4 linked regions of the Lonchura striata genome follow. The protein of the gene in region 1 purifies or fractionates together with the protein of each later gene. This does not show direct contact. Links are inferred from orthologs where the notes say so. Each region holds a gene or a part of one and is shown in the gene's direction. Other genes may lie near its edges. The genes, in order: mitotic-spindle organizing protein 2B, TUBGCP4, TUBGCP3 and TUBGCP2.

Region 1 (7,269 bases):
TTGTGGGACTGAGTTAAACCCTCACCGTGTTATCCATGCCCCCTTCCTGCCCCTCTGGCCTGGAGAAGTTCCTTGAAGCCCAAGCCTAGTGATTAGTTTGAAATCCCAGCCCTAGCAGGGATGCTTAAGTTACTTGGGTATCCCTGAGAATGCTGTGTGCTGTGTTTTGCCTCCAACCACAGCAATCTACAGGAGGATCAGATAACAGCTCAGCTGCCAAAGTTTAGAGCAAAGGAGAGAAATTTGCTCCTGATGCCTTCAGGCTGCTAGTGGAATGTTCAGGGTAGCACATACATAGCACACATGTGCAGTGGCACAGACATGTCCCAGCTGAATGCCTACTCTAATCTTTACCTAAAGACCAAATATTTGACCCAAAAGGACAAGTTTCAACTTCTGACTTGGAGAATTCTGTCACTCAGTCCCTTCAGAATGGTTCCCAACATCCTTCCAAACCACTTACTTGCTCCTGGTGTCATGTTTGGAAATTGTCCTAAGATGTCTCTGCTTGGATGCCTCCACCTAATTTTGAGTCTACACCTCTGAGTAGTTCTGTCATTTTTCATGCACAGTTTTGCAGGCCTGTCTTCAAACCACCATGCTCAGGCTCATAGAAGGGGAAATTGTTTAAGCTAAAAGGAACACTGATTTAGATTAGATACAAGAAGTATTTTACAGTGTGGGTGGTAAAACCCTGAGGCAGGTTGCTCAGAGAGGTGGTGGAAGTCCTATGTGTGGAAACGTTCAAGGCCAGGTTGGACAGGGCTTGGAGCAACCTGATCGAAGTAAAGATGTCCCTGCTCACAATAGGACGTTGGACTAGGTGACCTTCTGACCCAAACCTAGGATTCCATGATCTTCCAGGTGAGACCATCCTAGTGCCTTGCTAGTGGTGTGGCTGTGTCCCTCCCCAAAACATCCCAGGCATGATGATTCTACACTACCAGCCCTACACTTCTTGCTGTTAACATCAGTGGGGGCATCCCAAAACTGAGGTGGGGAGCAGTGCTGGAAGCTGCTCAGAGACATCCCTTTAACATAGCCCAGCGTTTTACTTGGTTATCTGGTTCCTCGTGTTAAATCCATACCCATGACTTCAGCATTGGAAACTGCATCATACTGGGTGCAAATCAAACTTCTTCCTTAAATGTAACCAGGCTAAATTATCATAAAAGCGTAGAATCATAAAATGGTTTGGGTTGGAGGACACCTTAAAGCTCATCTTGTTCCAGCCCTCTCTCATGGGCAGGGACACATTCTACTACAATGCTCTGCATCACCTTGTCAAAGTTAATTATCAAAGATAAATCATTACCTTATCCTGAAACAATGTATCTGTGATAAATTCTGTTTGCATTTGCTTTTCTATCTGGGAGCTGGTTTCCTTCAAAAAAACCTCAGAAAGATAGAAAAGTCCAGATACATTTGAATCCCTCTTTTCCATTTTCTGGATGTGGTAGGCACATTTGCTGCATTTGTTTGAGATTTGAACCATATCCAGGTTTTCTTAAGCCTGGCCCTTCTTTCATAGGGAGGTGACCTTGCTCCTTCCCTCCCTGGTGTCATGCTGACCCTCATCTCATGCACTGACAGTGTGTCCTCAGCCAGTGATTGTACCTCAGTCATTCTGTCCTTCCTGTCCCACTCAGCTTGATGACCTGCACAACCACCAGTCTTTCTCCCGCTGCAGTTACCTCTGCAAGGCACAGCCTGGCCCTGGTGTGCTCCCCTGGCCGTGCACAGCGTGTCCTGGTGCCCAGGGAAGGCTCAGCATCGCTTTGCCTCCATTTAGGGCCATGTCTGAGCAACCCGCAGTTCTTTCTGGTAACTCACTCCAAGGATTGCAGGCTCTCTGCTGCTCCTAGCTCTCTTTTCCTTCTGCTCATGCAGGCTGTTGGAGCCTCCTTTGCCCCCATCTGCTCAGCCCCTCTCTTAAACATGTTCTGCAAGGGCTGAGATGCAGCCTGGCATCAGCATCCCGGGCTGTCCTGGCTCATCCTGCTCTGGAAACCATGGACTGAGTGGTGGTTGGGCTTTAAAGTCCTGCCAGAGGCAATGGAGAGTGTCTGGTGGGCTGCAAGACCCAGGGTCCTCCTCAGTGTCATTTAAGCCAGAGTCCCCTGTGCCACCCAGAGTGCAGCTCCAGTAACTGAGGCCTCCTCAGGGGAGTTTCCCAAGGACTTCCTCTACTGACCTGTTGGACTGGGAGAGCAAAAGGGAGAAACTGAGATAACGGAGCCCCCAGGAATGCTTCAGAGAAAACCTTGAAGTCCAGAGGAGAAGGTTGTCACTCCACGTTGCAGACTAGGCCCATCCAGGCTTACACCGAGATGCGGGGAAGGTGTGACACAGCTGTGACCTATGAAGGAAGCATGTGAGGGACAGAGTCTCCTGTCCTTTGCCCTGGGAAGGTCTCCAGCCCTGTGCTGGTGACCACAGCACACAGGGAGAGCTGCCAGCTGGAACAGATGGACAGGGAAGGAGGGAGGTACATGCTGAAACTTCTCCAGTTTGTTGTACAGAAGGCAGTTCCTGGTTTTCTCTCTCTCTTTTTTTTTTTTTTTTTGGTTTTGGTTTTGTTGGGGGTTTTTTTTTGTTTTTTGTTTGTTTGTTTTTGTTTTGTTTTGTTTTGTTCCAAGAGAAGGGCTGAGCTGAAAAGCATCTCACTTTCTTCTGCTGTGAGGTGTAGCTGAGCTCTCACATGCCACAGGCTGAGGGAGGTTGTCCATGTGGGACCAAGTCTGGAGACTGCATCACCCACACAATGAGGGCGCTTGGCATTTGCACTCGACTACCAGCCTGTCCCAAAGGAAGTGGCACATCATATACCAGAACAGGCAAGAGATCAAGCACAGGGGTGTTTTTCAGTCCCCCTGTATCACAGACTCTACACTCCCTGCTCAGCTGAGGGTCCCTCTGAAAGTCCAGCTGTTGGGACAACCTTAGGCTCTGTGGCTTCAGCATTGGCAACCCCACAGACAGTGCAGTCACTCATGCTGGAGCAGCTGCTCCCACTCAAAACACAGCAATAATTGTTCTTGCTGGGCTGGTCCTGCTTTGGGCCATAAAGAGCAAGATCCTTCTATCATTATCCATGTCATTCCTGTCTTGGCTTCTGCCATAAATGTCTGTTTGTCAGCCTGGCCATCAAGTCACAAGGTTGGGGCACCCTGACAGACTCACAGGTTGCTTGGGATGTGGAGTGGGAGCATCTGTCTGCTGTGGCTTGGTGTAGGGATGGGATGGGGTCTGTCATGGCAATGCTGGGGGGACACAGTGACCCCTCTGCTCTGTTCCCCATTAACAGCGCAGCTGCAGGGCCTGTGTGTGCTGGGCTGGACCATCCTTCCCTGATGGCAACAGATCATTTCCATTTAGATAGGAGGGATTTCAATCTCAGTTTGCCAGCTCTTCGCCACGGTGCGACTCAAGACCCAAATTTCCTGCTTTTTCCCGCATGATGCCCAGATGCTCTCTGGGCTCAGGGCCTGCAGCGTGTTCAAGGGAGCTGGCGCCCGGCCCAGGGGACAGCTGGGGTGAGGACGTGGGCTCTGTAGCTCCGCGGGTCCCCATGGCACCTCCGCACCCCAAACTGCTGCACTGCCCTTCGTGCTCAGCGGATCCCGCTGGGTTCTGCCCTGCCCTGGAGCGGAGGCGCCTGCGGGGAGACCGCGTGGGGGGCAGCGGGGCGGATACGGGGCACTGCACAGCGGGCACCGGGCACTGCACACCGTACACCTCACACCGCACGGTGCACACCTCACCCCTCTCACCTCACAACTCACGCCGCACACCGCACGTCTCTCCTCACACACCGCACCCCTCTCACCTCACGCCGTCACCCCGCGGGCGCTGCGGCCGCTCCAGGCAGGGGCCCGCGGCCGGGGGCGCGGCTGGAGCGCTGCTGCCACCTGCCGGCCGCGCCAGGAGCAACAGGCCCGGAGCGGCGGGGACTGAGCCACTGCCGAACACTGAGGGGGCGCGGCCCGGTGTGAGGGGCGTGTCCCGGTGTGAGGGGGCGTGTCCCGGTGTGAGGGGGCGCGGCCCGGTGTGAGGGGCGTGTCCCGGTGTGAGGGGGCGTGTCCCGGTGTGAGGGGGCGCGGCCCGGTGTGAGGGGCGTGGCCCGGTGTGAGGGGGCGTGGCCCGGTGTGAGGGGGCGTGTCCCGGTGTGAGGGGGCGTGTCCCGGTGTGAGGGGGCGTGTCCCGGTGTGAGGGGCGTGGCCCGTTGCGAGGGGGCGCGGCCCGGTGTGACGGGCGGGGCCGCCAGGGGCGGGACCGCGCAGCCATGTCGGAGGGACCGGCGACAATGGCGGCCCCGGCGCCGATGGCGGAGACGCGGCTGCGGCGGAAGCAGCTGCTGAGCGCGGAGGAGGCGGAGCTGTTCGAACTGGCGCAGGCGGCGGGCAGCGGGCTGGACCCGGAGGTGTTCCGGTGAGCGGTGGGGGCGCCGCCGCGGGAGCCGGCGGTGACGCCGGATCCCCGTCTGACAGGCGCTCCCGCTGCCGGTGTTCCCCTCGCAGGGTGTTGCTGGACCTGCTCCGCATGAACGTGGCGCCGCTCGCCGTGTTCCAGGTGCTGAAGTCGATGTGTGCCGGGCAGCGGCTCCCGCCCGCCGCCGAGAGCGGCCCCGCCGCGCCGATGCCCGCCGACAGCCGAGGTACGGGGCGGGGCGGGCGGGGCCCTTCCCCGGGGCGGGCCCGCCCCGAGCGCGGCCGGAGCCCGCCGGCCGCCGGCCCCGCGCTGCGCCCGCCGCGGCCCGGGGCGCGCCCGCCGCTGTCCCGCGCCCGGGCCGCCGCGGGAAGGGGCCCGCGGGCCGCCCGGCCCGGCCCCGGCGGCGCCCCGGCCCGGGGGGCCCGCTCCGTGTGAGCCCAAGCCCGGGGGGCTCGCTCCGTGCGAGCCCAAGCCCGGGGGGCTCGCTCCGTGCGAGCCCCGGCCCGGGGGGCCCGCTCCGTGCGAGCCCCGGCCCGGGGAGCCCGCTCCGTGCGAGCCCCGGCCCGGGGGGCCCGCTCCGTGCGAGCCCCGGCCCGGGGGGCCCGCTCCGTGTGAGCCCAAGCCCGGGGGGCCCGCTCCGTGCGAGCCCAAGCCCGGGGGGCCCGCTCCGTGTGAGCCCCGGCCCGGGGGGCCCGCTCCGTGCGAGCCCCGGCCCGGGGAGCCCGCTCCGTGCGAGCCCCGGCCCGGGGGGCCCGCTCCGTGCGAGCCCCGGCCCGGGGGGCCCGCTCCGTGCGAGCCCCGGCCCGGGGAGCCCGCTCCGTGTGAGCCCAAGCCCGGGGGGCCCGCTCCGTGTGAGCCCAAGCCCGGGGAGCCCGCTCCGTGTGAGCCCCGGCCCGGGGGGCCCGCTCCGTGCGAGCCCAAGCCCGGGGAGCCCGCTCCGTGCGAGCCCCGGCCCGGCCCCAGCCCCGTCTGTCTTAGTGCTCGTGGGTTTTAGGCAGCGTGGGAGCTCTGGGGAGGCTGCTGCAGTACTTGTGCTGCGTTTTGTAGCCTCCTGGCTCTGCTCGCCAAGCCCTTAACAGGAGAAAACCACTTTAATCTACAGTAATATTCAGTACTGCTTTGTTTGTATATAACTTTTAAAAAGTTAAAAGTTTTCGGGCTTGTTTGTATATGACTTTTGAAAAGTTAAAGTTTCCGGGCCATGAGGAATCCCTGGAAAAGGAAGAGAGCTGTATTGCTTCCTTTACTCTATCCCCCCATGTTCGTGGTGGCTTCTAACACTCATCCAGCTGTTTCCATCCTCCAGCGATGGAATTTGTGTGGGGAGATGAAGTAGAAGGCTATGGGGGACTGTCAGATAAAGCAGTTACTGCTTTTGAATGCATTTATCTCTCCTTAATACTATAATGTCCGTGAACAGTAAAAACCATAGCCCTGAATTTGTGCCATATATATATATATATATATATATATATATATATATATATATATATAATTTTATTTTATTCATAACCAGTTCTAATAAAATTTCCATTTACTCCCTGAAGTGACTTTTTGCTCACCAACTCTGTGGATTACTTCCAAAAGGTTTAAAAATAAGTAACTAAAATAAGTCTGCTGTCACTAAGCCTGGATTCACAGTGGAAAAGTTTATTTCTCTTGTGCTCAAAAGTGTGTCAGACAGGGGCAGTGGTTGGTGGTTGGGCACGTTTATTCTCTTGGCTGTGCTTGCAAGTCATGTCGAAAGTGAAGTTGAGAGGGGGTTTAATTTGAAAAGCAGTCACTTTTGGGATAAAGGAGTTATGCCACAATCTGGTGCTTTTATAATGGCAAAGTTCAAGGTGAATCCCCTCTCTGAGCAGCTGAGGGGAACTCGGGAAGTTTGCTGAAGCTCAGGCAGAGTGTGTGGATAAAGTGTCCAGAGCTCCTTGGACTCGCCATGAACAGGTTTCCCTTTCTCAGGAGGTTCAGAATTCTCTGTAGAGGAGGTGGTTGTGCTGAAGAGAACAACCTCACATGTGACTGAGAAGTGACTCTGAATATGCACAGGGGCAAGAGAGGACAGACACCTGAGTACTATTTCCTAAACAAAATGGGAGAGGTGCAGCACTTGGATTTTTGTCAAGTGTGAAGCAGTGAGCTATTCTGGTACCCCATTAAGAGGAAATATCCCAAAAGAGCAGAGATTTTGAGCAAAGGATGCTGTTAAATTTTGCTCTGACTCCTCTGTTGCTGCCCCATCTGTTACAGGCTACTCTAACTGCGAAGGGAATGTTGGCGAGGTTTTTGTTCCTGTATGTCTGTAATGTGGAGCAGCTTTTGTTCTCTTATCTATGCTCTTTAAGGGGCACTTTCTGGACAAGTGAGGCTTTTCTTTTCCTAGCACTGAGCTACTGCTATGAGCTAATTTTAGCTAGTAGTGGGCTCGCTCAGGGTGTGAGACAGGCCAATGGCCACTTGATTTTTAATCAGCATTAAATTTCTTGAGAGGGAAAGCCAGAAGCCCTCAGGTAGAGTTGGTATGTGCTTAATTGTTGCCTTCTACTACCCTGCTGCAGGCATCTTCGAGAGGCTGAGACTGCAGGAGTTAGTAGTTGTCTTGAGAGCTTAATTTGGTGCTCTTTCTGCATCTTTAGTAGAGCATCTCCTGGTCTGACTCAGATTTCAGTTCTAATGTGTCCAGCCAGGCTTTTCTCTTTGTAGTATCCCTTTAACATGGACACGTTAATATCCTGGAGTTCTCTGGGACAAGCCCTTGAAACCAAAGGGAAAGTGTAGTGAGGTTCAGGGAAAGATGGTGTTGTTTGTGGTAAATATTTCTGGTATTAGTTTGGCTTT
Region 2 (7,584 bases), about 17 Mb from region 1:
TTACTTGTTCTTTACTAGCAAGAGAAAACACTCAATTTCCTTATCCTTGTCACATAAATTTGCCAGCTTCCTTCTTCCTGATTTCTCAAATTCACAGCATCCCTCTTACAACTTCTTAGAAACAATCTTTTATTTTCTTATTTTCTTCTACCTTTGCCTTTGTCTTCCTCAAAAGCACATCAGTGACCACTTGTCCCCTCACCAATCCTCCAATTTTGATAGCAAAAGATTAAGGAAGGACACAAATACATATTAACATCATATAACCCCCTCTATATCTTTATAGTCCACCTCTAAAGCAAGGTAGAAATGCTACTCACACTCCCTACATGGAAGGGAATCATTCAGATTCCCAACCTACATGCCATCTTTGGATCACGCTAAAGACCTACATAGGGGTAATATGCCTAAATCTTCTAGATTTTGTGTGTTCAAAGTCTCAGTAAAAAAGTCTTCTCTTCCCATACTTACAGCTAAATACATCTCATGTCAACTTTTTTAGGTATCATGGACCAATTTAACAAATAGGAAATGTTTCATACTGTTAATAAAGCAAAGGTTAGCTTATACCTAAGATAATTTCAACAACAATCTATGGTGCACTTGTGAGACCCCAGCAGGAACACTGGCATCTTCAGCACAAAACCTGCTAGAGCACGTCCAGAGGTGGGCAACAAAGATGCTCCGGGGCCTGGAACACCTCTCCCACAGAGGCAGGCTGAGACAGTACGGGTTGCTCAGCCTGGAGAGGGCTTTCTCTGTGGTCTCTCTGTACTTAAAAGGGAGCTTATAAAAGGAAGAGGGAAATGCTGATAGGACAAAGGGGAACAGTTTAAAACTAGAAGTGGAGAGATTTAGAGCAGATGACAGGAAGAAATTCTTGAACCAAGAAGATAGTGAGGCAGAGAAGCTGTGGCAGCCCCATCCCTGGAATGTTAAAAGACCAGGTCGGACCGACTGTCGCTTACAACATCGCCCCTCCACAGCACCACGTTTTCCTCCGCCGTTGGTCATTTTTGACGCGGTATAGTAGCGTAGGTGAGCCCGCACATCGGACGCTAAGATCCAAAGCCTCCCTCTCCATAGCAAGCCCACGACAAGGCAATGAAGGTGTCAAATGGGAGCGGTGTTTCGCCCAGAAAATCGGGTGTGGTCGCCAAAATCGGCGGGAAGGCGGAAGGCAGGGCCGCCCCCGCCCCACCCCGCCCGCGGCGGACATCTTGGGCGAGGTGCAAGGCTCGCCCGCGGCAGACGACGGCCGCACAGTCATGGGACGTCGCGTTGCTGCTCATCCACTGCCTTCTCCCAGCACTCGTCTCCAACCCTCAGGAGGACTGTCGAGCTTAGACAAGGTCCCGCGCGGCACGGCGCTCATCTCGCGGGAGGCGCAGCTCGACAGGGCCCGCCAGGAGAGCCGGCGGGGCACACCGTGCCCGAGGGGCAGTCCCGGAGCCCGCGGCTCCCCCCATGCCTGCGGTGGCCCAGCCTCCCCTCACAGCGCTGAACGCTGGAAAGCACGGACGGCTCGGACTGGGCGTCGCTTGGCGGCCACGCGGATTCCCTCACCCCGGGATCCCGATACTTACAGCCATAGTGGGGCCGGGACACGGCCAGCCCGTCCACGTCCTCCGCCGCCATGGCGCTGCGCTGGGCTGGGGCTAGCGGGAGCTGGGCGCGGCTGTTCCTCTTCCTGCCGCACCGGGTGTGGCGGGGGAGGAGTCGCCCCGCCGCGCTCTCTCTCCCCGCCCCGGCCGCACCCGAGGCGTCCCCGCCACCTTCGGCGCTGCTGGAAAGGATGAGTTGCGCAGTCCCGTTCCGGCCGGACCCAGGCCCCAATCTAGCTCGGCCCGTCCCGTAAACCTGAAGGACACGGCTTGGCCGTCTTGTCTCTCCCCGGGGTCCCTCTCCCTCTCACAGGGCCAGCGCCCTGGCTCTGAATCTGTCTGTTAGCCTCATAACTAACACCCAGCTAAGCTCTCACCTAAACTCTGCCAGCATACGCGGGACACAGCCCAGGTCAACCTGGTCATGACCCACATTTTACCCTCTCAGCCCAGCCATGTGTGCGCAGCCCACGTGCGCCCCACTGTGTGCAGTACAGCTCAGCCTCCAAAGCCCGGCTGCCTCCCACATGCTGCTTCGCCTAAGCCCTCTTGCCCTGCCAGGTTCCTCAGCTGCATAGCCCTTCACAGTAGCAAAACCTGGCCTTGCTGGATGTAGCATAAACAGCTCTACTGACCAAACCATGGTAACTCATATGAAATGTCAACCACAAGTGGAAGCAGTGGAAGCCCCTAAACAATAGCAACATCCAGCAGCACTGCCACAGGAGAATCATGCCCTGAAAACTTCCTTCCCCTCAGTACATATTACTGTTGCTTTGCCTATTTCTTGTTCAAGGGTCAGAGTACTGACAGTGTCAGTCACCAGGTGTCCATTTTAATTAGTCACATGAATTTCACTGCTAGGGCATACATTTACTACCTAAGTACACATTAAGTAATTTGGAAAACCAATAGCCTCTGTTAGGAAAAGCATCCCCAGCAGGCAAAGGAGTCAATCTATCATTCTCATCTTCCCAGATGTGGATTCAGTTTCAGCTCCCTCAGTACAAGGAAGACATGGACATAATGGAACAACTACAGTGAAATTGATTAAGGGCTTGGAGCATCTGACATATGAGGAGAGCACGAGAGAACATGCCAAGAAGCAGTGGGCAATGGACTGAAAAATATAAAAAGTCCCATTTCAATAGAATAAAAAATAGTTGTATTCTGAAGGTGACTCAACACTGGAACAAGTTACCTAGAGAAGTTATGGAGTCTCTGTCCTTGGAGAAAATTCAAGCCTAACTAGGCATAGTCCTGGACAAACCTGCTTGAGTTCACCTGGTATTGAGAAAACAAGGTGGGACTGGAGACTTCTAGAGGTCACTTCCAAAATCAGTGATTCCATGAGCCCATCAAAAAGTATATTTACTTACTATATATACACAGGTAACATGGAACAGGACAAGAAGACACAGCCTAAAGCTGTGCCAGGGCAGGTTTAGCTTGGACATTAGGAAGAATTTCTTCACAGGAGGGGTGGTGAGATATTGGAATGGGCTGCCAAGGAACGTGGTGGAGACATCATCCTGTAAGTGTTAGAGGAAAGATTGGATGTGGCACTTAGTGCTTTGATCTAGCTGACAAAGTGGCATTCGATCATTGGTTGGACTCAACAATCTTAGAGAACTGAATTGATTAAAGGAAGACATAATTCAATGGTTACAGAAATAACTACATTGGGAAATGCCAGACATAAATTACAAAACAAAAGGTTTTATAATACAGTTAGGATTCTATTTATTAACATTTGCATTACTTCACATGTAGCCACTTGTAAGTTATGCAATGAGAAGACATTTAAAATAATGTTTATATGTAGAATGTGGCGTGCAGAATTCATTTTGTTCCCCCTAAAAATCTCGTAACATTTTTGCACAGTGCCACAAACCTCCCTCAAAAACATCTCATTCTGATAAGAAAAATAAAACACGATTATTACATGTCATCAAAGAACCTTTCTGAACCTCTTCAAAGCTGGACTCAATGGTACCTATAACAGCTCCCCTGATTTAAGATTTCTGGTGCTTGTTATCGACTTTGCAAAATGTTTTTATTAAAAGTTGTGTATCTGTGTGCCTAATTTATTGCCTATCCTGTTCCTTGTCTTTTTCCCCCCTAGTGTTTAATGAGCACTAGTCAGATGGCCCTGCAAATATCATAGAGATACCTATTTTTCTCTCATTTCAAAATTTGAGCAACCAAAAAATTCTTTTAAGATTTTTGCTTTAATGACTAATCACTAGGTTTCCCAGAGAAAATGAGCACCGAAATCCTTTAAATAAACTACTGTTATCTGTTCTTTTGCAGAGGTTTCCAGACCAATTGTATACTGTGATATTTATGTCAAGGATGCATAACAAATGTCTAGGCCAACTCCTCAGTCTTTATTATGATGCTAGAAGTTTTGTCAACAGAAAGACAATAGTTTTATTATACTCCTCATATATGATAAACAACAATGTTGGGGCTTCCAATTTACACATAAAGCTGTATAGCTATAGCTAGTACATGCCCATATTCTTCCTACCCTTCAGACCTTATTGTGGCAAGCTGAAACAAATACAAATTAGATGACCCTTAAGACTAAACACCAATTTCTTCTAAATGAAGAAGAGTAAACATGTACATAGAGGAAAAAACTGTCAAAAATAGGGGGGGTAAATGAAAAAGAGGCTGCTAAAAAACACTTTATTAAATGACTTCATAGTTTTCAAACTAGACAGTTTTGAATAAAAGTCTACCCGGATTACGACAGGAAGTGAAGGAAAGCAGTACATAATAAATGGAGAAAGGTAAAACTGGCGCTGATAAAACACTGACAAATAACCTGAGAAAGCGATAAAGAAACCTCGTGAGGCGTATCGTAGAGGGCAGCGCAGCTCTGCTGTCCGGGACGGACGGTGGCCATCAGAGCCTCGGCGGCGCTGCACGCCGCAGCCCCGCCCGGCGCTCCCGGCGGCCCCGCCGCTCCCGGCAGCCCGCGCGGCGCCGCGCCGCAGGATGATCCACGAGCTGCTGCTGGCCCTCAGCGGCTACCCGGGGGCGGCCTTCACCTGGAGCAAGCGCGGCGGCCTCCAGGTGTGGCACGGCCCCGGCAAAGCCCACCCCGCCCCGCCTGCCCCCTGCCCCCCACCCCCCGGCCTGCGCGGCTCGTCCGTCCGCCCATTCGTTCCTCACCGCTGTTTTCTCTTCCAGGTGTCTCAGGAGCTGCCGTTTCTGCACCCCAGCGAGACCAGCGTCCTTAACCGGCTCTGCCGCCTCGGCACCGACTACATCCGCTTCGCCGAATTCGTGGAGCAGTACACGGGACATGTACAGCAGCAGGTGGGGTCACTGGGCCGAGGTATTGCCCGGGAAGAGCGCGGCAGGTGCCAGTAAGGCCAAGCTGCCCAGGACACAGCAGTGGTCCGTGGCCCATACCCGCGCTCGCACCACCACCGAGCAGAGCTCCAGAAAGCTCTTCGCGATGCTTGTAAGGGAGGGTAGAGAGCAATGAAGAATAATGAATCAAATGTAAAATCTTATTATTGGGGACGTCTTGTAATAATTTCTGACCACAGCAGACTGGCCAGGGTTTGTCAATTGAGCGGGATGCTCATGACTATCTCCTCATGATGTGCGAAGAGCCTTGAGATCCAAGAGGCACACTTAAGTGAAAAGAAGCACTGGTACCAAAGGCTCCCAGCACTTTCAGAGGTCCACAAAAGAACTAAACATCAGTCTGCTCGAGTAACTGTCATTGTGAAAAGGTTGTATTTGTTTTTCTGATCACTTTGTGGTGAGCTAAGGTGCATTTCAACAGGTTTAAAGCACTGACAACTGCTGTGGCACTGCACAGATACTACATTACTCTTCAGACTTGCACGAGTATGCTGAGGCAGATTTTATTGTTTGGTTTCAGGATCACCATCCATCTCAGCAAAACCAGAGTGGATTGCATGGCATTTATTTGAGAGCCTTCTGCACAGGTCTTGATTCAGTGCTGCAGCCTTATCGACAGGCACTACTTGACCTGGAACAAGAGGTAAAGGAGAGAGATACAGAACAAGAGGCTGTAGTGCTGCTGGCAGATTGTGGAAACTTGTAATTTCTGCAATTAATATGTTAGTAGTAGTTTCTAAGATGAAACAAGGTATTTTCCTTTCCACGTTAGGAATGCCTTCCAAATTATTCCTGTGAGATGCCATTGTAAATTACTTTTCATTCTATTAAGTGTTATCCTCTCTACCTTCAATTCTGTAAGGGCTCCATCTCTGTTAGCCCAGTGCTGTCTCAGACTACTGTGGCTTCTGTTTTCAATTTTAGAGGTTTTGATTAATCTCTGCTAGACTAGTAGCTGTCATACCTTGGGTAGCGTCACCATTTAGTGGTTGTGATAATTAATCTTCATTAATTGCTTTATCTTTATAGTTTCTGGCTGACCCACACCTTTCCATCTCACATGTTAATTACTCCTTGGACCAGGTATGTCGTGTTATTAAAGAAGTAGTGTTCTTTGCTTGTTGTCATCCCTCATTGAGTCTAATAAGAAAGTGGGTGGGATAAACGAGGCTTGTTCCATCATGTCATGTCATTTCTATCTAATGTCTCTACATCTGTAGTCCCTTAATCGTACTCAGAGGATCACCTGCACTTCAGCACAAAACTAAGGTACTCCACCTTGACCCTCACACATTCCTCACTGACTGTGTTTAGCCTTAACTACTGCTGGAATATAGTAACTTTGTGCATCTTGGTCCAGTGAAGGGAAGACATACTTCCTAGAAATTTGCATGTCATGTTTCTAATTTGTGAGGAAAGACAGGTAATAGTTTTATTAAATTATTGTGTTCAGCTGCTGTCCACAGTTACTCAAGTACAGTTTTTTTCTCTCTTCCTTACATAACAACCTACATCAATATTTCACTTGTTCTGCAGTTTCAGTTACTCTTCCCCTCTGTGATGGTCATGGTGGAACAGATCAAAACTCAGAAGGTACAGTAAACTTGCAGTTAGTTTCTCTTAACAGGTTTTCTCTTTAACTGATGAAGTAATTTCTGCCCCCATCCCATATTTCTGAAAGTAGAAAATAATGTCGTTTCAGTAATGGGTGCCCTATTACTAGCTCTACTGTAAGTACTGAGATTATTTTACAAATTCATTTACATTGTATTTGATTTTTTTTCTCTTATCCCATAATCTTTGATGTCTTGAATTTTATAGGACAGGATGCTGGTAGTGGGAATCTTTATTTTCTGAGTCTGTTTTCTCTGGCCATTGCTGGAAATAAAAAAGGCAGAGGCTAATGTTTCGAGAATCCAGAGATGCTTACATTTTTTAAGGGAAAGTATTGAGAGAAGCTTGAGTGTAGAGCCACATATAGAAGGTCTTTTTCATCACTACACCAGCATGTTACATCTTTCTTTCAGTAAGACTTGTTCAGTTTGTGAAGGCATTTTTTTGTTAGCTGAAAGTGTAATGTTTAAATGTATAAAAAGGTCAGTACAGATCCAAATAACAGACCTGGTCTAACCTTTTCTTTCTGCAGATTCATGGGTGCCAGATATTGGAGACAGTCCACAAACACAGCTGTGGGGGGCTGCCTCCTGTTCGCAGTGCTCTTGAAAAGTATGTAGATCCAGTAAAACTATTACTTCATTCTTCTGAAGTTAGTGTCAAAGTGTTTCTTACTTGTTGGAACAGTACGTGCAAAACAGCATGGTATAAAATTAGGAGTACCATGCAGGGGAAGACTGTCACCATCCCCATTATTTATCTAAAGCAGGTTTGTGGTGAGAATGAAGTCTTTCTCCATATCTAAGGCTATTCTGCATATCACTGATCTTTGATCTTTCAAAATGATAAATGTGAATGTGTGAGTGTTGTGATGTTTGTATGTCCTTGTGGAGAAAGTCAAACTACTTAAAACGTCCTGTTTTGAGTAGAAACAAAAGCCATTGCAGACTTACACCTCTGGTATACTAGCAGATTTCCC
Region 3 (7,161 bases), on another chromosome or scaffold:
TAAGAAAGTAGTTTATATTTCTTTTTCTCATTGGTAATGTGATTTTTTTAAGCTGATTTAAGCAGTCATAGCTGTACCAGAGTTCATAAAACCACAATGAATTTCATGTGCTAGCAACCTGCTCTATCAGAATTAGCATTTCTAAACAGGATTTTAGGATTCATTCTTTCTATTACAAAACAAACAAGGAGGTCTGTGAGGAATGACACTAATCAAATTTAGTTTCCTTCTATTTTCCATTCGTCTTGTCTCTTTCTGACCATTTTCCGCATTATGTTCAGAGTTCCAGTCCCTTCCACTTTCAGTTCTTAAATCATCCATCCACCAAGCTGGGCAAGCAGAGCTGGTACTGTAGGTGGATTGGAGCTAGGATGTGTGTCTATCTGTCCAGGGTGTGTACACACCAATCAGCTGCTTTGCTAAGGGCAAACAGCAGGGAGAAGTAAGTTCCCCATACCTTTCTTTTTCAAAGGGGGACTGACTTAAGCCTTGGTACTCTCAGCTGCTGAATTCCATTCAATTTTACTTATATCCTTAAAAACTCTATGCCTCTGCTGAATTTCTTTAAAATTGGTGATGAGATCCAGCAGTTATGAGGAGGCACTGACATACAGAATAACTGCATTAAACCTCATTTCTTAGGAAAAAGAGACTAGAAATGAGAGAATACATTCTCAGTAATGTAACAGAATGGCTGGCTATCACACTACTTCATAGTGTGACATAACATAGCATGTGGTTGTGTTGAAGTTGAAAAGCTTGGGTTTGTGTTTTTACTGCTGCTTGCAGGAGGCAATGAGCACACCCATTTCAATGGCATTTTCTCATCATGCTGCTCTGTAATGTGTTCTGATTTCAGACCAGTGACACAATTGCTTTAGTTAAAATGAACTAGTGTGACCAGAAAGTAATATCCACTTAAAAGCAGTAGCAGGATATTTGTCAGTGACTGGATTCCCTTGGAATGTTAAGGTTTTATAAAGGAATACCACTTCCAGATATAATTGCCGAGGTTATTTCTTTTGCCTCATGTGAGAACCATATTTGCTGCTTGCTAGATTAACACCTTCCACGGTGGAATCTAAAATCTGAAGTGACTAGCAGCAGTGGTGAGTCACCAGCCCTTTGTAGCACAACTGCGTGTGCTTTGGGCAGAAAAATGGAACAGAGACTCTTCTGCTGTTCAGTACCAAAAAAAAAAAAAAACAAAGAAAGCTTACAAGCTTATACCATCTTTGAAGCCTTTACTTCAGAATTATTGAAAATTAAGCTTACAATTCATATTTACATAGGGTAAAGTTCTGGTAACTTTATTCATTTTGGGTCCTATTTTACTTCTTTAAAAAATGCAAAGAATGTATCACTAAGAACTGAAGAGTTCTAGTGTGAGTAATTAGACTATGAAGGTTTCTACTAGTATATGCCAAGCAACAAATTGCCATACATCCTCAATGTGTTTCAGTTCTTGGCTTGCCACTGTGATTTGTTTCTAGCAGTCATGCTAGCAATGAGCTGATGTTTACATCTGTAATGTTCCCATAATGAAAGGCCATGTCTACATGCCTGCAGAAAGCATACACACAAAATTGTGGCTATGGAAACAGTGAAGCCAAGGGGAGCTGTCAGAAAGCCACGCGTTGCACAGCAGGAATGATTTCACAGCCAGCAGTGCACCAAGCCCACCTGGCTGCTGCTGCTGCAGCATTTCCAGTCACAGGTTACACAGGATTCCAGCAGCACAAGGGTAATAATTACTTCCTAAGTATGCCTTTTGGGCTGGACACAGCATGAATTTACTGAAGAGATAGAACTCAGACACCTGGTAACATCAGTGTCTGTGCTAGGGGTGACAAGCCTGAGGAGCAGGTCACAGGGAGCAGAGCAGACCAGCTGTGAGCGTGCTGTCCCTGGTCCCAGTGCTGCCCAGCAGGCAGAGCCCAGGCCCTCCACAGGGACTGAGGACACCCAGCTGCACAGCACAGCAGGACATGGACACGTGGGTCTAGGATCCTCACACATTTTTCCAGACCCACCCTGATTTGTAATTACTTTGTGTGGAAAAGCCACAAATGAGCCTCGATCCCCAAGGCAGCAAATCACAGAAATGCAGCCACCCCAGCCTGTTCTCTGGGGGGAGTAAGTGAACCTGCCCTGCCCATAAGTAATTCATTCACCATGTTCAATTACTTCTATGGAGTGTGGGGGCAAAACCCTTAGATACCTGTGAGATCTTCAAATTTAGTTGGGAAATCTCTAGTAAAAATTCGTAACAAGGTGAATATCTTCATCTTAAACCATTTGTGTAGTTAGCCGGCTTTGAATGTAAAATATAAGGTAGTGATGTAATTGGGCAAAATTTAATGGGTAAATAACAAAAAAGAATTGAGTTTCAACAATCTAATGGTTGTTCCTGTCATTCCCTCAGTTTATACTTTAGAATTTTTCTTTTCCCTGGCTATGTTCCTTTTCAGCGCTTTTATGTTATGTTTGTGAGGATGTCTGTATGTAGCACTTATGGCTATTGTGGGATTGTTGCAAAATGTGGAATATGTAAATATTTCTGAAGAAAGGGTGTTCTCTGCTGTTTGATCTTTGTATACTTTCAAGCCTAAACAACAACAAGAAAAGGAGATTTAATCTGTGAAACAGAGAGCAACTAAGAAGCTGTAAGCAATGTCCAGGTGTTAGAAAGACAAATTAGTTGTTGGAAGAATTGCTTTGTTAAGGTTAGGGCTCGATATGTTTCAATGACCTCAGACCCGGGGGAGGTTAACCAAACTTGGGAAGAAGAATATACCACTGACGGTGCACACAAAGAATGCAGAATTGAGATGTCACAAGGACATCTAGCAGAACTTCCAAGATCAAGAAGTAAATAACAAAGCAAACTCAGCAACTGTGCTGAAATCAGCTCCGACTGGGTAAAAGGTAATTCTGGCAGGACGAGATTGTGACCCCTGACTCACAGCCACCGACTCTCAAAAGAAGACTGAAAATGTGGACTAATAAGGATGAGAAGCAATGGAACCATGAATATAGAATATAGAATACTAATTAAGAACAGAACTACGTAACTTGTAGCCAAGAAACATTAATTCCTTTGTTTACTAAAATGGATAAATAGTAAAATATTTTGATAGTTAGGATGATAGTAAAAAAAGCTTTTGATGGTTGGGCTTTGCGAATTTGCTACCCAGGACCCCTTTCAGTGCAGAACTGTAAATAAATCAAATACCTCGACTCTGTGTGTATTAGCCTCTAGCACACCGGGTTAAAGAACCTCTTTTGGCAAGAGGACTACTCTGCATCCGTGTCTACGTTCCGCAACCCCACATCCGAAGGCCTCTGGCAGCCCACCATCAAGGCTTTTCGCTCCTGCCCGCGGTGGCCGGAGAAGGCCGGCACTCGGGCACTCCGGCACTCGGGCACTCCGGCACTCGGGCACTCGGGCACTCCGGCACTCGGGCACTCCGGCACTCGGGCACGCCGGCACTCCGGCACTCCGGCACTCGGGCACTCGGGCACTCGGGCACTCCGGCACTCGGGCACTCCGGCACTCGGGCACTCGGGCACTCCGGCACTCGGGCACTCCGGCACTCGGGCACTCGGGCACGCCGGCACTCGGGCACTCCGGCACTCGGGCACTCGGGCACTCCGGCACTCGGGCACTCGGGCACTCCGGCACTCGGGCACGCCGGCACTCGGGCACTCCGGCACTCCGGCACTCGGGCACTCGGGCACTCCGGCACTCGGGCACTCCGGCACTCGGGCACTCGGGCACTCCGGCACTCGGGCACTCCGGCACTCGGGCACTCCGGCACTCGGGCACTCCGGCACGCCGGCACTCGGGCACGCCGGCACTCGGGCACGCCGGCACTGGGGCACTCCGGCACTCCGGCACTCGGGCACGCCGGCACTCGGGCACGCCGGCACTCGGGCACTCCGGCACTCGGGCACTCCGGCACGCCGGCACTCCGGCACTCCGGCACGCCGGCACTCGGGCACGCCGGCACTCGGGCACGCCGGCACGCCGGCCCCGCCGCAGACCGCGCCGCAGACCGCGCGCTGTGAGGGCGGGCGGCTGCCGGCACCCGGGCCGGCGCCCAGGCGCGGAGGCGGCGCGGGCCCGCCCCGGAACCGCCGCGCGGGGCATTGTGGGCGTGCGGCCGCGGCTGCGGCTTTCGGCGGGTCCCGTGAAAATGGCGCCCTAGGCGGGAGCGGGAGGTGCCGCCCGGTCCCTGCGCTGCCGCCGCGCGTCCCGGCCCCTCCTTCCCTCCGCCAACCCGCCCTGCTCCGGCCCTGCCGCCGCTCCTGCATCCCGCGCGGCGATGGCGACTCCGGACCAAAAATCCCCCAACGTTCTGCTGCAGAGCCTCTGCTGCCGCATCCTGGGCAAGAGCGAAGGTAACGGCGTCCCCCGCCATCGCCCGGCGGCAGCGCTCGGAGCCCGCGGGGGCTGCCCCGGCAGGGCTGGAGAGGTGCCGGGCCCCTCGGCAGGGAGCGTCACCTCCCGGCCCGGGGGTGACAGCCCGGGAAATGCCGAGGGGCCGGGCACGGCAGCGGCCCTGCGAGCCGGAGCCCTGCGGCGGGAGGCGGCTGGAGACGGCTCCGTGCCCTCCTCCGGCTCCCCCGGAGCCTTTGGCCGGCTGCTGAAGGCGCTGTCCTCCTCGGGGAGCGGGGCACCCGTGCCGGGGGTTTGGGCGAAAGGGGGCTCCGTGTTCGGGTTGAGGAACCTCCGCCTCCCGCCGGTGCCTGCTCGAGAGGAGCCATAGACGTGCGCCAGGTCCGCTACAGGTCCTCGTGTCTTGATGCTGCTGTGAGTCTCCCGCAGGGCAATGAATCTCTTGTCTGTTTGCCTAAGTTTCTCCCTTGCAGTTAAGGCGAAGACTGTTTTTAGTAAGCAGTCGGAGGGGTGGAAAGGAAGGCGTGCATCTGCGGAGTCTTCTTTTTAAATTGCTCTGTTTATCAGCGTGGCTCGCTAGATAAACTCATGCAGAAGCTTTTATTGCATCTTTTTTCTTGTATGAGAGATGGCTTTCTCCCTTATTAGTAGTGTCCATCAGGTCTCTTATTCTTTTCTCTCTCCATGCCCCTTTCTTCTGAAAAATCCCTTTAGATATTTCCAGGACAGTAACTAAGACTTTTGAGCATTACCTGTTGTAATAAATTACTTGAACATGGCCTACATGTGGATTATTGCTAGTTTAGGACTCTAGAAAGTGTGTAACAAGATGCAGATACATATATTGTCTGTTTCTCAGACTTTGTTCCCATCTGTTGCAGACAGCATGGCATGGTCTCACACCCCGTCGTTATCTCTCAGTTGGAGAGCTATAGGCTTAATGGATGAACTGTTTAGTGAATGAGGAACTGAAACTGGTAGCATGGCCACATCCAAGGAGTTGTAGTCACTGTGTCAATGTCGGAATGAAGATCAGTAGCAAGTGGTGTCCCTCAGAGGTCTGTATTGGGATTAATCATGATCAATATCTTATTAATAACATAGACAGTGGGCTTGAGAGTGCCTTTGGAAGGTTTGCACATGACACCAAGCTGAGCAGTGCAGGTGATGTGCTGAGGGAAGGTAGTGCCATGCAGAAAGACCTTGACAGCCTTGAGGAGCACACCTGTGTAAACCTCAAGCTTATGCCCGTGAGTTGAGGCAATCCCCAATATCTGTTGAGAATGGGGAATAAGTGGATTGAGGGCAGTCCTGCAGGGAAGGATGTGGGGAGTGGATGAAAAATTGGACATGAGGCAGTAATGTGTATCCTGGTCAGCATATTCTGAGCTCCTTAAAAAGAAGCATGGACAGCAGGTAGAGAGCAGTGATCCTCCCCTCACTGCTCTGCTTTTGTGAAACCCCATCTGCAGTACTGTATTCAGCTCTGGGGCCCCCAGTTCTGAAAGGATGTAGATGTATTAGAGCAGGTCCAGAGGAGTGCCATGGAAGTGGTGAGAGGAATGGAGAACCTCTCCTACAAAGCAGATCTGAGAGAGTTCGGGCTGTTGATCCTGGAGAAGGCTCTGCTCAGAGATGTCACTGTGGCCTTGCGGTGCTTAGAGAGGGCTTATAAGAAAGACATGTTTAACCAAGGCCTAAAGTGACAGAACAAGGGGCAATGGCTTTAAACAGTTATAGGGTATGTTTAGATTGGACACAGAGAATAAAGTTTTTACAGTTGGGGTTGTGAGGCACTGGAACAGGTTGCCCAGAGGCTTTGTGAATCCCATCCTTGGAAATGTTCAAGGCCAGATTGAATGGGGCTTTGAGCAACCTGATCAAGTGAAAGATGTCCCTACCCATGTCAGGGAAAGTGGACTAGATGGTCTTTGAAAGTCCCATCCAGTCCAAACCATCTTGTGATTCATCTGAGAACCTTGGTAAAGTTGGTAGGAAATTGGAAACTTTGTCTTCACTGACCTGTTGAGTAGGGGACTCCTTCACAGAAAACACTCTGTGTAACTCTACGATATTAAGGGTCTTTTTCAACGTGAATAATTCTAATATCAATAGCTGTTGATTGCTATGTTTTGTTTTTCAAAATCTTTTCCTTCTCCATTGCATTTTTAAGTCTTCTGCAAGACAGTATTTTTTTCCCCAGAATCTATAGTATTTCTGTATCAGGAATTCCTGTTATAAGATTTTATCAGAATGTGGCAAATTTCTAGTTTTCCATGTCCACCAAATCAGCAGTAGTTTCTTAATGGTTTAATGCCTCTTGTGTTCTTCTGTAACCACATCTTTCTTTTAGCAGGTGTTTTAACTGTATTTTAAAGGATACTTTACATCAGACTACAGTTCTAAGGTGCTCTTCTAGCTTTTTTTTTTAAAGCTCTTTCTTGCCTTTAACATTTTTCAGAAACTTTTTTCTGATACAATTAATATATGTTCTTGTTTAAGAGTATTTCAAACATTTGCTACCAGAAATCTCAAATTATTGTGCTAATTACTAGGTCTATTTCCAAAAACAAATTAAAAAAAAAAAAAAGGAAAATAGATTATATTGCTTTAGTGGATGTCTTTTCAAGGCCATTATTTCTATAATGTCTAGTCCTGTTTTCTTCATTACTCTTTTCTTAGATTTGGAGTCTAATCTAAACTCAATCTAAGCTTGTTTCTTAGTGTTATCTAGGTCTGTGATACTTTAAAAAGTTAAA
Region 4 (7,389 bases), on another chromosome or scaffold:
TGTCCCTCCCGGCCCTGGGTGGATCCAGTGCCGCTGCCGCCCATCCCACATGTCCCTCCCGGCCCTGGGTGGATCCAGTGCCGCTGCTCAGGGACATGGCACCCCTGTGCACCCCTGGGCTCTCCAGGGCAGGCAGGTCCATGTCCTCCTAACAGTGCACAATCTCTGGAGAGATGGAAAATTTAAGTTTTGGCTTGAAATACGGATTTTTGACAGCCACTGGCCAGCTGGGAAATACTTTGTTGCCCATGGACGCTGGGAAAAGCTGGTGGCCTAAGAGACAATCAGTAACTACAATTTGTTTCCCAACAGCAAGGGTGGGCACTCGAGGACCCTGGGCTCTGGGAAAAAGGAGTTCCCAGGTCAGAACTCCTGAACACAGTAAGGAAGAGCAGACTGGGCTGCTGCCCAACCTTTGTACCACCACACGCCAAAGCCTGCAGGCATCTCCAGTAGCGTGGGGCCTGCTGCTTGTTCCCAGATATCCCAGTGTGGGGAAAAATGCCTCATTCGGGGCTTTAGTGTTGGGAAGTGACTTTTTAGTCCCTGCTGAGAGATGTCCCTGGGCAGTTGTGTGGCTGCAGGGTTTGCTTGCTGGAGACAGCACTCTCCAGAGCCCACGGAGCAGGGATTAGGGCTGGACAAGCTGGATGAGTTTTAAACATAGCAAAGCTTTTTAAAACTTACTGGGAAATCTCCTGCATCTCCGTAAACATCATTCCCTGCTCCCATTTGCAAGGATTTTTCAAAGCCCCTTTGATCTTCTATTCCTCACAGAGAGGGGGAAGGGAAAAAAAATTAAAATTATAGATCCTAAGCTTCTTGGATAAACATTGTTCCAGAAACCTCTTTTTTTCCCCTTGTGCACAATTTTTGAGTGTCAGGATTCACCAGGACCCCAAGATCAGTGGCTCTGTTTCCAGTTTTTTCCAGGAACATGAAATTACAAAGGAAAGGAAAGGCAAGAGGGAAAATAACCTCCATCCCAACCTGATTTTGGCACCATTTGCAGCAAACGAAGGGAGGTTCATTCCACACATCTGACTCTCCTGGGCTTCAAAAAAGCACTTAAATTGTCTATGAAGCAATTTTGTAAAAAATTTCTTTTATTTATTCACCTGGTTGGAAAACACTTTATTTGAACTCCCAGTGAAAATGCTTCTCCTGGCCCAGACAAACTTCTCAGAGCAGGTTCCAGGGTGCAGAGGAGACTTCAGTGAGATGGAGGAAGGCAGAACTGAGGACCAATGAGGTTTTTTCTCCTCGTTTTCTTTTCTCAGTTATTCCAGCTTCCATACAGTCACGTTGGCATCTTGTAACTTCTTGAATCCATTTTTTTACCCTCAAGAGGCAAAAAGTAAAACACCCAGTCCCATGCAGCCTCAGCTGCAGGCTAGTTTCCTTAACACTTCACCACACGTTCTGGATTCCCTTTCCTCAAATCCTGAGGACTCTTAACTCAGTTGGGTGCTGCCAGTTCTGTTTGCCATCAGGAACATGTGCCCAAATGCTGGCAGAGCTTTAACTGGTTTGGGTGGTTCATTCCATGGAGTGGGAACTGGCAATATCCCTGGTGGCACTGGCTCCATGCCTGCTCATCTTGCACAAATCTGCTGCACCGACCTTCAGACCTTTTTCCGTGGTCCTTTAAATCCTCGGGTGGCACCTTGTCCAAAGCAAATTGTGGATGGGATCCTGGAAAGGGAGACAGGCTTTAATCCATGTTAGGAGCCCAGCCCTCACAAGCTCGCTGGGATGCTTAATGCTCTGTGGGGCATTTTAAGCTCCCAGACTGGGAAGAGCAAGGAATTGGAGGAGCAGGACATGTAAATCACCAAATAATTTAAAGAACAGGTGAAATACTGGTTGGATTCCAGTGTACTCTGCACATTCCTGTCCTGGAGGGCTCTTTACAACAAGGTGTTACTAAATATAACACCTGGGTAGCTGCAGTGGTTGAGGAGCAGGAGAGCAGCAGCAACATCCTGCAATACCTTGGGAAGAGATCAGGTGGGCAGACAAACACAGCTCCCACAGCGTACCCATGTCCTGCTCCTCCTTACACTTCCTTCTTTCAAAAATGGCTTTGGAAGCACTCTTGGGATTCCTGCCTGGTTTATCCTCAGCACAGCAACACCCCAAGGCAGGCTGCAAAGGGCTGATAAGATGGAGTGCTCCCAGCCCATTTTGCCCCTGAGGCCAAAGTACTGACCTGGATTTGTAGAGGCGTTTCTCTGGCAGCGAGGGGCCAGGGCTGGCTGCAGGCTGGGAGATCTCCATGTTCTCCTCAGGCCCTGTTTCCATGGCATTCACTTGGAATTGCTCTGCCATCTCCACGCTCACATCCATGGGCACGCTGCTGCCCTGCTCCATGGGAGAGCTTGTGTGCTTGGAGCCACTGCAGAGACAAAATTTTACATCCTGGCTGAGGAGCTGCCATGTGAGCCCAGAGCCAAGGAAGTCAAAGGTACTTCATGAGGAAACAAGTGCATCTAGGATGGATTCCTTCCCAATATCCCATCTATCCCTGCCCTCTGGGAATGGGAAGCCATTTCCCTTGTAAAGAGTCTCTCTCCATGTTTCCTGTAGCTCCCTCAGCCACTGTAAGGCCACACTTAGGTCACCTCAGAGCTGAACAATCCCAGTTCCCTCACACTTTCCTTGCAGGACAGGAGGAAAGTTCTGCAGTTACCTTTTCACCTTCTTGGGCCTGTCAAAGCGAAAGTCAGCAGGATAAAGGTGCACGGTCACCAAGTGATCCTTCCTGTCCTTGCTGCTCTTGAACTTCTCTGGGCAGCCTTCCACCAGGCACTGGTACTGAAAGGCAGGGAGGAGAGAGGAAAAAAGACATAACTGGAAAAAAAAACGAGCATATACCAAGCACGAGGCAAGGGCTGGGCATGGCAGCTCACCATATTTTGCTTCTCAGCCATTATCTGGAAGAGGGAATCATGCCACTCCAAGATGTGGATATCCAGGAGATTCCCAGAGGGAAAGGAGCGCTTGCAGAAGGAGCAGACATTCCTGTGCAGGGTGTTGTAGTGGTGCTCGTAGCTCTCCAGTGTGTCAAACACCTGGCTGCAGCCAGAGATGTGGCAGCTGAACTCGGACACCCTGCAGGGAAATCAGGACTTTAAGCTGAAATTAAAGCTTTAAATTCAGCTACAAAAATGCCCCCTAGATGACTTATCAGAGAAACCCAGGATGGCTTGGGTTGGATTGGACCACAAAGCTCATCTGATTCCGACCCCTTGCCATGGGCAGGGGCACCTTCCACTAGGCCCACACCTACAGCCACAACACTTGTGGCATTTTTTTGTGCCTAATACTTAAAATTAAATGCCAGGTGCAATGGAACAAAGATCGTGGTGATGCTGGCAGCTGGAAAATTATTTGCCATTGGAAACTTATTAACCATTATGGCTCCTGTTAAATGGTACTTCGGTGAAGAACAAACAAGCCATTAATAAATAAATTAGCTGTCTAAGCTAAACGCTGCAGCTGTGGATGACAACTCCAGTGATTTTTTTAAGGGTTATCCATAGGTGAATCTCACACAGCACTCAAAAGTACTTCCTGTCTGGCAAGACCAAGATTCTTCTCCAGGCTTGGCCTTCCTGCTTGGAGCTGTGCCAGCTGCAGCAGCCCAGAGCAGCTGTGGCTGTGCCTGGACCCCTGGTAGTGCCCAAGGCCAGGCTGCACAGGGCTTGGAGCAGCCTGGGACAGTGGAAGAATTCCCTGGCAGGGTGGGCAGGCCCTGGCACAGGGTGCCCAGAGCAGCTGTGGCTGCCCCTGGATCCCTGGCAGTGCCCAAGGCCAGGCTGCACAGGGCTTGGAGCACCTGAGACAGTGGAAGGTGTCCCTGCCATGGCAGGGGGGAGGAACGAGATGATCTTTAAGGACCCTTCCAACCCAAACCATTCCTTGATTCCATGACGGGAGGGCTCAGACGAGACCGCCTCACTCACTTGGGTCTCTCGGCCACCTCCTGGAGGCTGCTGAGGACGCCCTGCAGGTAGAGATGCCTGTGCACGTCCCCATCCTAGAGAGGAGCAGAGAGCGGCGGTGGTTGTGGGCAGGGCTGCAGAACGCAGCTCCGGGGGGAACCGCGCCGGGAGCGGCCCCGCGGCGCCGCCTCACCTCGAAGAGCGGGTGCTGGGGGCCGAGGCGGAGGCGGCGGGGGGCGAAGGAGAAGGGCGGCGCGGGCGGAGCGGGCGGCGGGGCCGGGGGGTCCCGCGGGAGCGGCGGGAGCCCCTCACGGAGGAGGCGGCGGAGGCGCGGCGGCAGCGGCAGCATGGCGGGCGGGGAGCGCAGTGCGCCTGCGCGGGGCGCGCTGAGGCGGCTCCCGCGCCGCCCGCCGCGCATGCGCGGGGCGCGCTTCCCGGCGCCAGCGGCGGCGTTTCCGGGCGGGCAGGTAGGGATGAGATCGAATTGAATTAAACGGAATTAAATTTATTTAATAGAATGGGATAAGGTCAAGCAGGGTATGGAGGGTGGGCTGGTGCGGGGGGTGCCGGCGGTGGCGATCCCTCCGCTGTGCCGGGTGCGGTGCCCTCGGAGGCCGCTCCGAGTCCAGCCCAGCTCCCGCAGCTTCTCCTCCTTCCCTGCCTTTGGGAATAAAGGTTTGGGTCAGACTAAAGCTCAGGGCACAAGTCTTGGAGAGCGAGCTCACTTGTGCCGGGCGCTGACAGTACACACCCACTTCATAACTACCCCAGGGTGTGGAGTCTATTTATTTATTCCACATATCCCGGCACTTGGGCAGCCCGCGGGAAATCCCAGCGGGATCACGGCCCCAGGTGCTGGGGAAGCTGCGCCCTTAAAGAGATTTAAGTTTGGGCTGCAGCAGCCTGTTCTAACTCGAGTCAGCTTTGAGTGGAGAGTTGGACCACGGCTTGCAGGGATCCCTTCCAGCCGAAGTGATTCCATGATCTTGGCAAAACAGAAGTGTGTCCTTGTGTTTGATATGGAGTGTATCTGCTTGATGCAATCTCTGCAAGGTGTCACATGGAGCTTCTTATTTATCTCCATGGTTCCTGGCTCAGGGTCTTACGTCTGATTTACAGAATCACAGGATTTTCTGAGCTGGAAGGGACCTACAAGGATCATCAAGTCCAGCTCTTAAGTGAATGGCCCATTCCAGGATTGACCCACAGCCTGGGTGGTGTTAGCACTAGGCTCTGACCTGCTGAGCTCATCTCAGGGCTCTGTGTCAGTATTAAAGTTGTTATTTAGGTATTCTCCAGGGTTTGAGTGAATTTAATAAAGTGGGCAGTGGAATAGGAGGACCCCTAAACTTGGGGAAAACTGCTTTGTGGTGATTTCAGAAGCAGCAGTGGGGTCAGCTTGTCAGGACACCAAGCAGTCCTTCCCGCATTCCTTCTGAATGAAAAAATCCTCTGCTGGCCAGCCCCAATTTAAGAGTCTCCCCCAGTCTTAGACTTCCTGGCTGGAGCTGTCCCACCTTCAGCAGCCCAGAGCAGCTGTGGCTGCCCCTGGATCCCTGGCAGTGCCCAAAGCCAGGTTGGACACTGGGGCTTGGAGCAGCCTGGGACAGTGGAAGGTGTCCCTACTCATAGCAGGGGTGGCACTGATGCCTTGAGAAGACTGACATAGAACAGAGCCAGACAGAGTTAAAGAATAAAGCAGGGATTTATTAAAAGGATCTCTTCAGTGGATCCACCTTGGGCAGCACCAGAGCCCAGCCAGGGCTGCACCCAAGATGAACCAAAATGGTCCCAAAATGCACAAGCGCTCACAGGGGCTCTCACTTTGATCAGTTCTGCTCCATTTGTACATTGGAGTTCATTGTCCAATTCCAGCTTTAGGTTATGAAGTCCCATCCTTCTTGGTTTTTTTCTTTTTTTCTCTTCAATTCACCATTGTTTGTGCTCTTGGGCCTGAGATTTGAATCATTTGTCCTTGGTCTCCAGCTAGAGAAGGAATTGTTTTGTCTCCCTCCTCTGTGCAGAGATCTCACCATCCCTTAATGTGAAGCCCAGACCTACACACTAAAGCAGCAGAGAACCTGAAAAATACAAAAGCTAAACCTGAGGCATCAGAATGAGATGGGCTTTGAGGTCCCTCTCAACCCAAACCATACAAGGAGTATCCCTGCTTGATTTGCTTCCTCCTCCTTTATCCCAGCCAAACATCTCCACGTTCCAGAAGCATCTCCCTGGCGGGGCAGGGAATAACCTCTGGGAGCCGGGAATAACCCCTGGGAGCAGGAATAACCCCTGGTTGCCGTGTCCCCAGGGCTGGTGGCCCGAGCTGGGAGCATGAGCGAGTTCCGCATCCACCACGACGTGAACGAGCTGCTGAGCCTGCTGCGGGTGCACGACGGGGAGGGCGCCGAGGTCTACATCGAGCTGCTGCAGAAGAACCGCACGCCCTACGTCACCACCAACGTCTCTGCCCACAGTGCCAAGGTCCTGCCCCCTTCTTCTGGGCACAGCAGCTCGTCCTGTTGGTGTCCATCTAGGGAGAAAGATCTCTGGTGGGGTCTGGGGCCACGGTTCTGGGTGTGAAGTGGGAGGTCTGCGTGGGAAGAGGTGGAATCCTTGAGGGAGAAGAGGATTGTTAGGACTGGGGTGTGGGAAAATTCAAACAAGGAGGTTGTTTTGTGGCATATTGGGAAGGAGTTGTTTCCTGGGAGGATGCCCAGGGAAGCTGTGTCCCTGGATCCTTGGAAGTGTCCAAGGCCAGGCTGGATGGGGCTTGGAGCAAGCTGGGATAGTGGAAAGTGTCCCTGCCCGTGGTACAGGATGGAACAAGATCACCTTGACATTCCCACCCAAACCTTTCCTTGCTTCCATGATGAAATGAAAATTGTATAAAATGCAGTTATATGACTAACATGTGGCTTTTTTCTTCTGAATATCACCCAAATATTAGAGATTGAAGCCTGGTGCTCATGACCAGACTCTTCTATAGCTATATAACTCAGATAGCTTTTATGGCTATAAGGTTGCTTTTTGTTTTCATTTTTAAAAGCAAGCCACCAGTCGAGCTCTAAGTGCTAGGGAGTTTCTAACTCTGTCTGAAACTTGGCATCTTTGTAGCCCGAGCTGCGTGTTTGCTCTAATTCCATTTCATTTTAATTGTAACTCCATTTAATATTAACGTGGTGTTTTACAGGTGAAAATAGCAGAGTTTTCTCGAACTCCTGAAGATTTTCTAAAGAAGTATGATGAGCTGAAGTCTAAAAACACTAGACATCTGGATTCTTTAGTTTACCTGCTGTCCAAGCTCACTGAAGACAAAGAGGTTGGTTCCTTGTTTAGAACTGAATGTTGAAGAATTGCAACAATGCAATGATTTCAAGCCCAGCTTGAATTAAAGTTCAGTGAAATCTGTAAAAATCAACAAATAACCAGTACTAGCTCT

What was found.
Region 2: the proteins of mitotic-spindle organizing protein 2B (region 1) and TUBGCP4 purify together in Homo sapiens (affinity purification with mass spectrometry; 3 studies listed by BioGRID and IntAct, counting the BioPlex papers as one, with this or other methods). This does not show direct contact. The link is inferred for Lonchura striata from reciprocal best matches to the Homo sapiens genes MZT2B and TUBGCP4.
Region 3: the proteins of mitotic-spindle organizing protein 2B (region 1) and TUBGCP3 purify together in Homo sapiens (affinity purification with mass spectrometry; 3 studies listed by BioGRID and IntAct, counting the BioPlex papers as one, with this or other methods). This does not show direct contact. The link is inferred for Lonchura striata from reciprocal best matches to the Homo sapiens genes MZT2B and TUBGCP3.
Region 4: the proteins of mitotic-spindle organizing protein 2B (region 1) and TUBGCP2 purify together in Homo sapiens (affinity purification with mass spectrometry; 5 studies listed by BioGRID and IntAct, counting the BioPlex papers as one, with this or other methods). This does not show direct contact. The link is inferred for Lonchura striata from reciprocal best matches to the Homo sapiens genes MZT2B and TUBGCP2.

What each region holds. Positions count from the first base shown.
Region 1 is NC_134613.1:7,856,734-7,864,002, forward strand, and holds the start of mitotic-spindle organizing protein 2B, read left to right. Parts: upstream 1-4,252; 5' UTR 4,253-4,285; coding exon 4,286-4,431; intron 4,432-4,520; coding exon 4,521-4,657; intron 4,658-7,269. UniProt on the Homo sapiens protein: Required for the recruitment and the assembly of the gamma-tubulin ring complex (gTuRC) at the centrosome.
Region 2 is NC_134613.1:24,617,787-24,625,370, reverse strand, and holds the start of TUBGCP4 (gamma-tubulin complex component 4), read left to right. Parts: upstream 1-4,569; 5' UTR 4,570-4,610; coding exon 4,611-4,688; intron 4,689-4,805; coding exon 4,806-4,934; intron 4,935-5,511; coding exon 5,512-5,634; intron 5,635-6,020; coding exon 6,021-6,074; intron 6,075-6,527; coding exon 6,528-6,584; intron 6,585-7,137; coding exon 7,138-7,217; intron 7,218-7,584. Other genes in the region: ras GTPase-activating-like protein IQGAP1, read right to left, coding at 1,587-1,638. UniProt on the Homo sapiens protein: Component of the gamma-tubulin ring complex (gTuRC) which mediates microtubule nucleation.
Region 3 is NC_134604.1:91,911,261-91,918,421, forward strand, and holds the start of TUBGCP3 (gamma-tubulin complex component 3), read left to right. Parts: upstream 1-4,152; 5' UTR 4,153-4,328; coding exon 4,329-4,404; intron 4,405-7,161. UniProt on the Homo sapiens protein: Component of the gamma-tubulin ring complex (gTuRC) which mediates microtubule nucleation.
Region 4 is NC_134609.1:37,381,229-37,388,617, reverse strand, and holds the start of TUBGCP2 (gamma-tubulin complex component 2), read left to right. Parts: upstream 1-4,370; 5' UTR 4,371-4,414; intron 4,415-6,147; 5' UTR 6,148-6,281; coding exon 6,282-6,431; intron 6,432-7,140; coding exon 7,141-7,269; intron 7,270-7,389. Other genes in the region: ZNF511 (zinc finger protein 511), read right to left, coding at 1,626-1,695, 2,213-2,398, 2,693-2,817, 2,913-3,114, 3,969-4,042, 4,141-4,365. UniProt on the Homo sapiens protein: Component of the gamma-tubulin ring complex (gTuRC) which mediates microtubule nucleation.